3 linked regions of the Macaca mulatta genome follow. The protein of the gene in region 3 purifies or fractionates together with the protein of the main gene of each other region. This does not show direct contact. Links are inferred from orthologs where the notes say so. Each region holds a gene or a part of one and is shown on either strand. Other genes may lie near its edges.

Evidence for each region. The genes of interacting proteins can lie anywhere in the genome.
Region 1: the proteins of MAP3K5 (region 3) and MAP2K3 purify together in Homo sapiens (co-immunoprecipitation; 4 studies listed by BioGRID and IntAct, with this or other methods). This does not show direct contact. The link is inferred for Macaca mulatta from reciprocal best matches to the Homo sapiens genes MAP3K5 and MAP2K3.
Region 2: the proteins of MAP3K5 (region 3) and STUB1 purify together in Homo sapiens (affinity purification with western blotting; 3 studies listed by BioGRID). This does not show direct contact. The link is inferred for Macaca mulatta from reciprocal best matches to the Homo sapiens genes MAP3K5 and STUB1.

Annotation. Positions count from the first base shown.
Region 1 is NC_133421.1:22,179,808-22,183,551, forward strand, and holds the start of MAP2K3 (dual specificity mitogen-activated protein kinase kinase 3), read left to right. Parts: upstream 1-1,389; 5' UTR 1,390-1,510; coding exon 1,511-1,559; intron 1,560-3,744. UniProt on the Homo sapiens protein: Dual specificity kinase. Is activated by cytokines and environmental stress in vivo. Catalyzes the concomitant phosphorylation of a threonine and a tyrosine residue in the MAP kinase p38.
Region 2 is NC_133425.1:1,895,420-1,899,163, reverse strand, and holds the start of STUB1 (E3 ubiquitin-protein ligase CHIP), read right to left. Parts: upstream 2,603-3,744; coding exon 2,444-2,602; intron 2,056-2,443; exon of another isoform or gene 1,967-2,055; coding exon 1,768-1,966; intron 1,681-1,767; coding exon 1,515-1,680; intron 1,323-1,514; coding exon 1,235-1,322; intron 1,096-1,234; coding exon 1,039-1,095; intron 952-1,038; coding exon 835-951; coding exon of another isoform or gene 754-834; coding exon 628-753; 3' UTR 321-627; coding exon of another isoform or gene 240-320; intron 165-239; 3' UTR 162-164; coding exon of another isoform or gene 27-161; intron 1-26. Other genes in the region: uncharacterized protein LOC106994901, read left to right, coding at 2,601-2,967, 3,009-3,133, 3,249-3,446, 3,695-3,744. UniProt on the Homo sapiens protein: E3 ubiquitin-protein ligase which targets misfolded chaperone substrates towards proteasomal degradation.
Region 3 is NC_133409.1:41,710,131-41,713,774, forward strand, and holds part of MAP3K5 (mitogen-activated protein kinase kinase kinase 5), read right to left. Parts: intron 2,298-3,644; coding exon 2,140-2,297; intron 1-2,139. UniProt on the Homo sapiens protein: Serine/threonine kinase which acts as an essential component of the MAP kinase signal transduction pathway. Plays an important role in the cascades of cellular responses evoked by changes in the environment.

The DNA.
Region 1 (3,744 bases), on a different chromosome or scaffold from region 3:
TGCAAGGCTTCCCTCCTATCTCATGTGGCCCTCCCCACTCTGTGTGCATGGGGCCCTGCATCACCCCCACTTTACACCTGGGCAAGCAGAGGTCAGGCCCGGCCTCAAGCGTTTCTAGCAGGTGGTGGAATCTGCTTCCCTCACGTGAGGTCCCTGACAGGGTACACACTCATGTCTGCCTGGAGGCCAGGGGCTGACCCCTTGACCTTTGCCTGGTACCTTCTGCCTTCACTAGCACTGACTTTACATCCAGAGTCATCTGATCCCAGCGCCAGATTGGTCAGCGGTTCCTGAAATCCCCCAAGGTTCCGTGTGGGAGCAAAGAGAGGACTGGTCCATCCAGCCATTATACAGATGGGCAGACTGAGATCTTAGGAGGAGAGGAGAGAACCAAGGTCCAGGAGAGAGCCAGGATGGGGCCTCCGGGCTCGTGGGATAAAATGCACCGCATGCTGCCTCACTCCCTCTGAGACAGTTTCCCCCGGTGTAGAACAGGGGCAGCAACAACCAGCCACGACAACTCCTCGTGTTGCCTCGTCACCGGGCATCGCTGAGCTCACCACCAACCCCGCGCCCTGGCCGGGCGCCTGGAGCGCGGGCGCGGGCGGACGTTTGCTGGCGCCGGGCCCTCAGTGCGTGTCAGCGAGCAGCGCCGTCAGACGGCTGTCACCGCCGCCCGCTCACAGATGCGTAGACTGAGGCTCAGGTGTCACGACCTGACCAAGGCTAGTTCCGCTACAAAGTTGCCGACTCGGATCTGAACCCGGGTCAAATTTACAGAAAAGGAAACTGAAGCCCAGAGACACCAGGGAGCTTGCTGGGGTGAGGCAGCTGCAGGTTCAGAGAGCCAGGAGGCAGCCCAGCAGCGCACTTTTAACCCCCGCCCGCCTCGCCAGGCCCAGCCGTGCCACCTTTAGGGATCTCGGGTTTTTTCCAGACGACGCACCCGGGAGAACGCGCCCACTCATCGCACCCGCCGGGGCTGCGCGTCTGGGGGTGCTGGGCGGAGCCTGGCGCTTGCAAGGAGCAGCGGGCTCAGTGGGTCCCGGGAGTGGGTGGGGCTTGCGTGTTGACGGGCAGCGCGAGGGGCGCGGCTTTAGTCCAGGTGGGCGGAGCCTGACCGGACTTGGGTTTTTCGGGCGGCTGGCAGACTTGACAGAGAGCGGGAGGGGCCCGGATCCTGGGCCCACGGAGGGTGGGGCGTGTAATTGACAGGCAGGGACAGACCGGCGTCTGATAGGCAGGGGACGGGCCTTGGAAACGAAAGGGCCAATCGGACACGCAGGGGCGGGGCCTGAGTCAGCGCCGTTCGGCCGGGGTCCCCCCGGCGCTGCCCAGTCTGGCTCCGGCGCCGCCCGTCGCGGACTCGTCCTTGCAGTAGTCGCCGCCGCCGCCTCTGCTCCTCCGCCTGGCCCGGGCCGTCTGCCCGCAGCCATGAGCGTGCTCGGCCCCGGTGGAGCCCGCAGTCCTCTAGATTAGTCCCCACCGCCGTCCAGGACCCGCTTGCAGCATGGAGTCGCCCGCCTCAAGCCAGCCCGCCAGCATGCCCCAGTCCAAAGGTAGGCGATCCCGGCCGGAACCTCGGCCTGACCCCGCGCCCAATCTGGGGCCGGGCTGCAAACCCCGACCGAATTTCTTTGGTCCCACCCCATCCTGTTCTCGACCTGGCAGCGGCGTCCGGTCCCGGAACCCCTTCCTGTTCGGGGCCCCGGGACCGGCCGCAGCCTGGGTCCTCACCTGGACCCCCAGGTTAGGCCTTGGGACTGCATTCAGGCCCGAGATCACCCAGGCTGGACCCAGACTAGGACTTTGTTCTGCTCACCCCATCCAAGTCAGGAGCCTCACTCTGACCTCATTTGGGCCTTATGGCTGTAGCCTGGACAGGAACTCTCTCAGTCTTCTCCCTCAGAGGGACCCAGGTGAGATTCACACTGGCCTCCATCTGCGTCCTTGGGCAGCACCCACTCCCATTTCCAACTTGGGGTCCCAGGGCTGTATCCAGGCTGGGATTTAACTTAAGTCTCCATCTGGGCCCCAGAGTGCTTCTGTTGTTTCGGACCTCACTGTACCCGCTATGCGGGTGCTCTGGCTACACCCCAGCTCGGAACTCCCCGTCCTTCTCTCCTCCAGCTCTTCTTATCCTTATAGGCCCTATGTTGCCCCTTCCCTGGCTGGCCTGCACCCTGTCCTGCAGCCCTGTGCTCCCAGGAACCTCCCTTGTCCTCCCACCCCTCCCTAAGGTACAGCCCCCTCTCTACTGGCTTCTCTCTGTCTTGAGTTGCAAGCTTCTCCCTGCACTTGGGGTTCTCACCCCATCTTATTCCTCTCCTGGCTGCCTGGGATCTGGGCCAACCGCCAGGCCAGGGTGCTGGCTGTGCAAGGGATTTGCTCTTCTCCAAGTAGCTGGCCTTCCTGGAAATTTTTGTGAGGTGGCAGCAGCAGCAGGATTTGTCATGCGGAGGGGGAAGGATGAGACTCGGAGGGCAAAAGGGGAATTTTTTTTTCAGGAAGAGGAAAGGATGTTTTTGGTGCGTCGGAGTTTCAGTAGGCTGGGTTGTGTGAGAGATTTCCAAACCGGACGTAGCCGTAATGAATGGGCTGCCTCCTGCCTAGCTGAACCTGCAGCTGCTTCACCCCAGCAAGCTCCCTGGTGTCTCTGGGCCTCAGTTTCCTTTTCTGTAAATTGGAAGTAATCACACCTGCTTCTGTGGACGCGGGAGTGTGGCGTGGGGTGGTGAATACAAAAGAGCTCTGAGGTGTTCACTCAGCATAGCGCCTGGCGGAGAGCCGGCGCTCACCAGGGGACACTGGCTGCACACATCTCGCTATTGTTTCCATTCTTCTTGCTGGAAAGGCCTCCACTGCTGGAACTGCAGCCGCAGAGTGAGCAGGAGGAAGCATCTAGCAGCGGGCACCTAGTGGGCCCCTCATCGGGGATCAGCCGCTCTTCTGCTCTGGAGGGCGCAGGCCAGTGGGAGCCCTGTGGGGGCTTGGGGAGGGCACGGGCTCTTCCTGGCCCCTGCTGCTGGCTGCTGTGGTGGCTGGAGCCGGGTGGGCAGGATAATTATGCCTTACATAAGTGGGAGGCCGGATCCCTGACCATTGCCCAACCACTGTGAGTAACTCAGGAGGCACTTGAGGGGGGAGGTGTCTGGGGAGGGACTTGCACTGCCCAGACCTCGTGGAGCTTGGGAACCAGGAAATCAGACACTTCTCCACTCTGGAGAGCCTGGGGAAGGGTAGGAAGCCCTGTTTGTTTTGGAGGCTTTTTAGCTCTCCAGGCAGAGAATGCCTGATCAAAATAAAAGTTCCAGTTGCAGAGTTGTGAAGGGAGAGGGGTCATAGATGTGGTAAGAACGCTGTGAGAGGGCCAAGATGAACTTCTAGATAGGGACCCAGGTCGCAGATGAAATTGAGGGAGCTGGATGGAGGGTCAGGGACCTCCCTCAGGCCCAGCGACCCTGTAGTCTCTTTGGGATCTGGGGAAGGATGTGGTGACAGAGCCGCAATGCCCTTCACCAAAAACCCTATGAGCTTCTTCTTTTTTTCCATGTGCCATGCATTTTCTCATTTATTCCTCATAGCCTCATTTATAGATAAGGAAACTGAGGCGTTAAGTGCCTTGCCTGAGGCCACGCAGCTGTGACAGGCGGAGCTAGGGTTCCCCCTAGGACTGCATCCCCACAGTGGCCTTCCCCGTGCTCCCTTATGTGCCCCTCCCATGCTGGATGCCTGAGCTGAGCT
Region 2 (3,744 bases), on a different chromosome or scaffold from region 3:
GGTGACGCTGCTGCTCCTGCCCCCAGCGCTGGTTCCTCTACCCACCTGAGAAGACACCAGAGTTCCACCCCAACAAGACCACGCTGGCCTGGCTCCGGGACACATATCCAGCCCTGCCACCGTCTGCACGGCCCCTGGAGTGTACCATCCGGGCTGGTGAGGTCAGTGGCTGGCAGGAGAGGGCCAGGCCAGGCCAGAGGCCCCCAGCTAATCTGTGCTGCACCCCTTTTCTCCACCAGGTGCTGTACTTCCCTGACCGCTGGTGGCATGCCACACTCAACCTTGACACCAGCGTCTTCATCTCCACCTTCCTCGGCTAGCCAAAGCAGCTGGCAGGCATGCCTGCCACACACCAGCACGTCCCATCTCGTGCTCATGGATTTTATTACACAGACAGTGGCGGCAGTGGCTTCAGCCCAGCCCACCCTCACCTGCTTTTCCAGCCCACAAAGGAGGACAATCACGGCCCAGCAAGAGCTATGCTGAGAGGGGGAATAGTCCAGAGCCCAACAGCAGAACTTGAACTTGGAAGGGGCCAGGGTGGCCAGCAACACAAACTATGTACAGGGGTGGAGGGCTTCCGCCCAGGGCTCTCCTGGACCAGGATGCTGGGCAGGGCAAGGCATCTCAGTAGTCCTCCACCCAGCCATTCTCAGAGATGAATGCGTCAATGACTTCCTTCATGGCCAGGTTGGGGATGAGCTGTTCCTGGGTCAGGGGGCTCCGGGTCACGGGGTCAAAATGACCCACGCGCTGCAGTGACAAGAAGGGCAGAGGGCAGTCAGTGGGCCCAGGACCATGCTGCTGGCCCTGCTCCCCCAGCCGCAGCCTCACCTGCAGGTGCTCCTCGATGTCCTTGCGGTCGTAGGTGATGCCACTGGGCGTGATGCACGGCTCCCGCATCAGCTCAAAGCTGATCTTACCACACAGGTAGTCGGGGATGTCACGCTTCTGTGGCACAGGGGCACACGATCAGAGGCTGGGAAGGGGCACTGCTCCAGCACCTGCCACCCACCGCAGCAAGTGACAGACACTCACCTTCCTCTTCTCGTCCACCTGAGAGAAGAGCTCGTCCATGTCTGCCATGTACTTGTCCTGTGAAGAGTTGAGCACTGCACTTGTGCGGGACACCCCACCTCCCTCCTCCATGGGGCACAGACCCAACACAAGGCGGGGATGCTCCCACGCCAGGTGCACACACACAGACCCACATGTGGGAGGGGGGCACCCTCACATGCTTAGCCTCAATGCAGGCCTGCTGGGCCCGGACGTGGCTGTCGTCCTCATCACCCTCGTGGTTCCGCTGGCACTCTTCCAGCTCCCTGGGGGTTGACCAGGAGCCAGTAAGAGATGGACCTGGCCAGATGTCTGACCACACCCCAACCTCAGGGCTAACATTCATGCTTCTTCCCCACGTTTTCTGCTCGCCAGTGAAACCTTCAATAAACGCTCATGTTGGTAGTTGGTGATTCAGAATTATCCCAAGACAGGGCGACCTGGGGTGAGGGTCCCACCTCTCACGCTCCGCGGCAATGAGCCTGGAGAGGTAGGAGTGCAGCTCGCTCTCCTGGTGGATGCGCCGCTCCTCGATGCTATTCCAGCGCTTCTTCTTCGCGATTCGAAGAGCGCTGGGGATGTCGTCCCCGAAGTTCAGCCGCTGCTCCTTGGCCAGGCTGTAAGCTGGGGAACGGGGGCTTCAGGTCACTCTCTGGCCAGTCCACCCGCCTGGCCCCAGGGGCCCCACAACCGGGCAGCTTGTCAGCCAACCTCGCTGCAGATTGGCGATGGCCTCATCATAGCTCTCCATCTCCAGCTGGCACTGCCCCAGGAAGAAGTGCGCCTTCACAGACTGCCCGTCCAGTTCCAGGGCGCGCCGGCAGTCGGCCAGGGCCTGCTCGTGCTGCTGCATCTTCAGGTAGCACAGGGCACGGTTGGTGTAATATACGGCCACCAGCGGGTTCCGGGTCTAGGGACCAAGGCCGGGCCAGCCGCATGAGGGTGTAGGCTCAGCGCGCCCCCTCTGTCCCACGGCCCGTCCCAGCTTCTGCGCTCTGGCTAGAATCAAGAAACTAGGCTTCTCAGTCGTCAAAGCCCCTGGATCCAAGGATCTGCAGACAGTGGAGTACTGGCTGAGCCTATCCGCTTGACTCCACTTGGTTTTGTAAAGTTTTCCAAATCTTTGGAGAGTCCAGGCTTTGGACCTGGGATCCTCAAGGGGCGAGGGCCCCTGCCCTCCCCCCGACCCGGCCGGCCTCCATCCAGCATCCCACCCTCGTTCTCCGACACCCGGCGCTGGGCTCGGGAACCACGGCTGGGCTTTAGGAGCCCAGGACATGCCCCGCAGAGGAACCAGACCCTCGGTGGGGCCAGCCGGGCACGGGCCCGGCCCTCCCCGGCGCCGCCGCCGCCGCCGCCGCCGCCCTTCCCGCGCGAGCGCACTCACGATCGCGCGGCCGTAGCAGGCCGCCGCCTCCGGGTACTTTCGGCCCACGAACAGACGGTTGCCCTGCTCCTTGAGCTCCTGCGCACTCGGGCTCTTCTCGGGGCTTCCGCCGCCAGCGCCCAGCCGCGCGCCGCCCTCCTTCTCCTCCTTGCCCTTCATGGCGCCGCGCGGCACGGCCTGGGCTGCGCTCCCAAGCTCCGCGCCTGGCGGCCCAGCGCCTGCAGCCCGAGCCCCGCAGCCCGAACCCGCGATCCTCTCGGGCCCGGCCCAGCTCCACCGCCGGAACTTCCGGCCGGGGGCGGGACCAGCGGGGACGCACGGGTGGGGGCGAGTGGGGCCGCGCGTGCGCCCAATCAGCCTGGACGGGGACGCTAGGCCCGCGGCGTCGGGGGCTGGGAGGAACACTCCGGTTCCCTCGCTCGGCGCTCTTAAGGGTCGGCGTTCGCGGAGGCCCTGGCCCGCCCTGCTGAGGCCTCTTCGGAACCGGCCTCGGCGGCGACCGCCACACACATTCGACTTTCCCAGTGAGATGCCTTGGTTCGCTGAGGGCGCACTCCCCCAACAGCCTGTCCCGACCACCTGGCGTTCCGCCCCCGCCGCAACGCGCAGAGACCCCTCCCCAAGCAGCGGGCCCCATCCAGAGGCCCTTCCCCCGGCAGCCAGCCCCGCCCCCAGCAGCCCGCCCCATCGGCAGACGCCCCGCCCCCAACAGGCCGCCCCACCCAGAGGCCCCGCCCCCAGCAGCCAGCCCCTACCCAGAAGCCCCGCCCCCGGCAGCCGGCCCCGCCCCTCCGCGTGAACATAGTGGCTTCCCGCGCTGTTGGGTGTAAGGACCCCAGTCGCTGGGCCGCCATTCCGGAGCGCCATCGAGAGGTCCTACGGGCGCGCGCGGACCCCCGAGTGCGGCTGGAAGCCCTGGGCCGTTGGTAGAGTGGAAGGGGATAAAGGGATCGGTGGGCGAGCGCCCCCTGTGGCCGGACCTCCCCTCACCGCCCTTCCCCAGGTATCGGGAGGAGTTGCCAGCGGCCATCAGGGGCAGAGCGGAGAGCATGTGACAGGGAGCTGGAGCGGCTGCTGGCCTGGAAGCTGGCGGCGAGGGGCGGCCCGCCTCGAGGGCGGGGCCTCCGTAGGGCGGGTCTTCACCGGGGCGTGGCATCGGCGGGGCGGGGCCTCCAGAGCGGGTCTTCGTGGGGGCGGGGCCTCCCTGTGGGTCCACCACCCCGGGCACCCTGACCTGGCTTCTCACAGCAGCTGGTGACCACCAATCCCCCTGAGCTGGCTGTGCACTGTTCGACCACCAC
Region 3 (3,644 bases):
TCTATTTTATTTTTTCTTTTTTAGTAGAGAGGAGGTTTCACCGTGTTGGCCAGGCTGGTCTTGAACTCCCGACTCAGGTGATCTGCCTGCCTCGGCCTCCCAAAGTGCTGGGATTACAGGTGTGAGCCACCATGCTTGGCCAATAGGTACTATTTTTATCCTTATTTTATAGATGAGGAAACTGAGGCACAAGCAGTTTAAATAATTCGCTCAGTCTCAAATATCTTGACCATGCTGGAGCCTGGATTCAAACACTGTAAACTGGTGCCACAGTCTATGTCACGCCGTCTCTCTAAGATAGCATCACTTCCTGTGCACAGCTTAGACTGGCCCTAATGTGACCAAAACACATGGTATAATAATCACTGCATTCGTGAATTATAAAGCAGCATTTCAGATAAGTCCTAGACACTGGAGGAAACCTGAAAGACTGGCCAAGAAGAGAAAGACATCCACTCATGGCAAGAAAGGCACCTCTCTTGGCACCTGTCATTGCTCTTTGAGGTTTGGTCACACTACTCATTGTTATACCAGCAGTATCCTATCAGATTGTCTTCAAGCATAAAGCCAAGCTTTGCACAAAAGCAGAAGGTCTGTCAAAACACACGGCCCCTCATAAGAGGCTACGCACAGATGGAATAAGGGCTAGAAACGTGGTCTGCAGCAGGGAGAGGAATAACAATTACCATCAAAAGTCCTTTCAGGCCAAATGCGTGGCTCACGCCTGTAATCCTGGCACTTTGGTAGGCCAAGGCAGGCGGAGGGCCTGAGTTCAGGAGTTTGAGACCAGCCTGGGCAACATGACTAAAATACAAAAAATTAGCTGGGTGTGGTGGTGTACGTCTGCAATCCCAGCTACTCAGGAGGCTGAGGCATGAGAATTGCTTGAACTCAGGAGGCGGAGGTTGCAGTGAGCTGAGATCACGCCACTGCACTCCAGCCTGGGTGACAGATTGAGACTCTTGTCTCCACAAAAAAAAAAAAAAAAAAAAAGTCCTCTGCCTTGGATACCACAGGAGAGCACAATAAATAAATAAATTAATTAATTAATTAATTAATTAATTTTTTTTTTAAGTTCTCTGCCTTAGAAAGTAGCAGACGTGTGAGTTTTACTACTTGGGAAGCATGTTTCCATTTCAAACTCCCTGTTGGCCTGGCAGTCTGGCAGGGGAGGACTGCAGGGATTCAAGACGCAGGTCATAGCCATGCTCAGTCCCCAGATCCCAAAATGCTGGCACTTGTGCTCTCATAAGCCTACTTCTATTATCAGGTACCTCCTACTGCAAAAGGTGGGGCTTCTTCCTCCTCCCATAGGAGTTACTGATGGCCAAATTAACAAGCTAGAGGAGTAAGTATATGAGAATAAGATTGATTTACTTAAAATGGTAATTATGCTCTTTTTTAAAAAATGAAGCCTTCAAACTATTATGGTAGAGAAGTAAAGGAAATTATTAATTTTGATTTAATTCCTAAACAGATTAAAAAATGTTCTTATATCTTCCTCCATGGAAAATTTTCAGACTGTTTCCCAAAGGGCTTAAATCATCTTCAGTATAGTCATGTGTTATTTATACTGTGTTGTTCAAAGGTGGTCAGGCCAGGCGCGGTGGCTCAAGCCTGTAATCCCAGCACTTTGGGAGGCCGAGACGGGCGGATCACGAGATCAGGAGATCGAGACCATCCTGGCTAACACAGTGAAACCCCGTCTCTACTAAAAAAAATACAAAAAACTAGCCGGGTGAGGTGGTGGGCGCCTGTAGTCCCAGCTACTCGGGAGGCTGAGGCAGGAGAATGGCGTGAACCTGGGAGGTGGAGCTTGCAGTGAGCTGAGATCCGGCCACTGCACTCCAGCCTGGGCGACAGAGCGAGACTCCGTCTCAAAAAAAAAAAAAAGGTGGTCAATGGAAGTTACATTGAATCTCACTTTATAGCTGAGAAAACTAAGGCACAGAGAGATCCACTGTGTGAGGCACCAGCGCTGGCTCTAACTGAGAGAGACTCTTCTTGACCTTTAATGTGTTCTCAGTTCGTGTTTACTTAGCTCCCTTTATCTAAAAAAATATGACACACACACACACAGAACATCCAATAGCTATAAAAAGGTTTATCCATTTGTTTTTAAGAGAAATGAAGTGTGACCTTGAACATAGCTGCTTGTGGTTCTCCCAGTTCATAAAATGGGGGTTTTCCTGTGGCCATTTCGATGATTGTACAGCCCAGAGACCAGATGTCTGCTGCTTTTCCATAGCCTCTTGGTCCTTTATCTATTATTTCTGGTGCCATATACTGGAGGGTACCTGGAAGCAATTCAAACACATTTCCATTTTAAAAAGATAAAACAGAAGGATATCTAATGACAGTTTCAATTTTTCTATAGGAGTTAGATAACTGTAAAAACATGATTCAAGTCCTAATATATTTTGTGAGTTCCAGTTTACTCTGCTATTAATAAAAGTGGAAATAGCAGTTTTTATAATGGATTTCATCAGTGACATAAAACTACTTTGCCAATATTGTCTGGTTCTGAATAGGTATGCTCTCATTCCCTAGACAGTGGAGTATAAGTGAGGCATCATTTCACTGGGCCGCTTACAAACTTCTAACAATTAGTCTTTTGAGAACAATAACATCAGCACACATTTCTTCAAATGCATGAAGACTGTTATTATGTATACTTCTAATCTTTTCCAGAAAAGAATATAGTTCATTCATCCATTTCCTTAGCTCTATCTCTATTTCTCAGTTCCCAAATTGAATGCTTTAGCTCTTCTGTTTTCATTCTTATTTCTTAATCATGACAGCATGAAGATTCTGAAAGCCATTGTGAAAATTAATGCAAATACATTTCTGGTGTGCCCTATTCTGTAATCCAAATATACATGACTCCTGCTGCTGTCTGTGGTCCATGGACTAACAGGTTTAAGAGATCAAAGACAGGCCATGAGCCATCCATACAGACACATCATCAGATACAGTGACTAACAATAAAATGAAGGCTGGGCGCGGTGGCTCACAAAGTGCTGTAATCCCAGCACTTTGGGAGGCCGAGCCGGGCGGATCACGAGATCAGGAGTTTGAGACCAGCCTGGCCAACATGGTGAAACCCTGTCTCTACTAAAAATACAAAAATTAGCTAGGCATGGTGGTGGGCGCCTGTAATTCCAGCTACTCAGGAGGCTGAGGCAGGAGAATCGCTTGAACCTGGGAGGTGGAGGTTGCAGTGAGCTGAGATCATGCTACTGCACTCCAGCCTGGGCAACAGAGTGAGACTCTGTCTCAGAAAAAAAAAAAAAAAAAAAGAATAAAATAAAAAGGGAAGAGATTTAAGGTTGCATGGAATCAGACTGGTGGAGAGTGTGGCATAATGGAAAGAATTAAGTGGAGAGGGCCACGAGCCCTTAGTCTGCTTCTGGCCAAGTATATCCCAGGTAAACACACAACTACAATTACCTCATTAACCCAAATGAGAGGCTGGATTTGAACTTCGAATACCCCATAAAGTGGTTTCCCAAAGTCTAGCAATGAGTCAGAAGCATGAATAAAAACACATCACCACATACCCTGCTTCTGATATACAAATAATATAGTCAGCAAACAAGAACTCATCCAAGATGCCATGTTGAATTACTTCAAATCATGAGGTG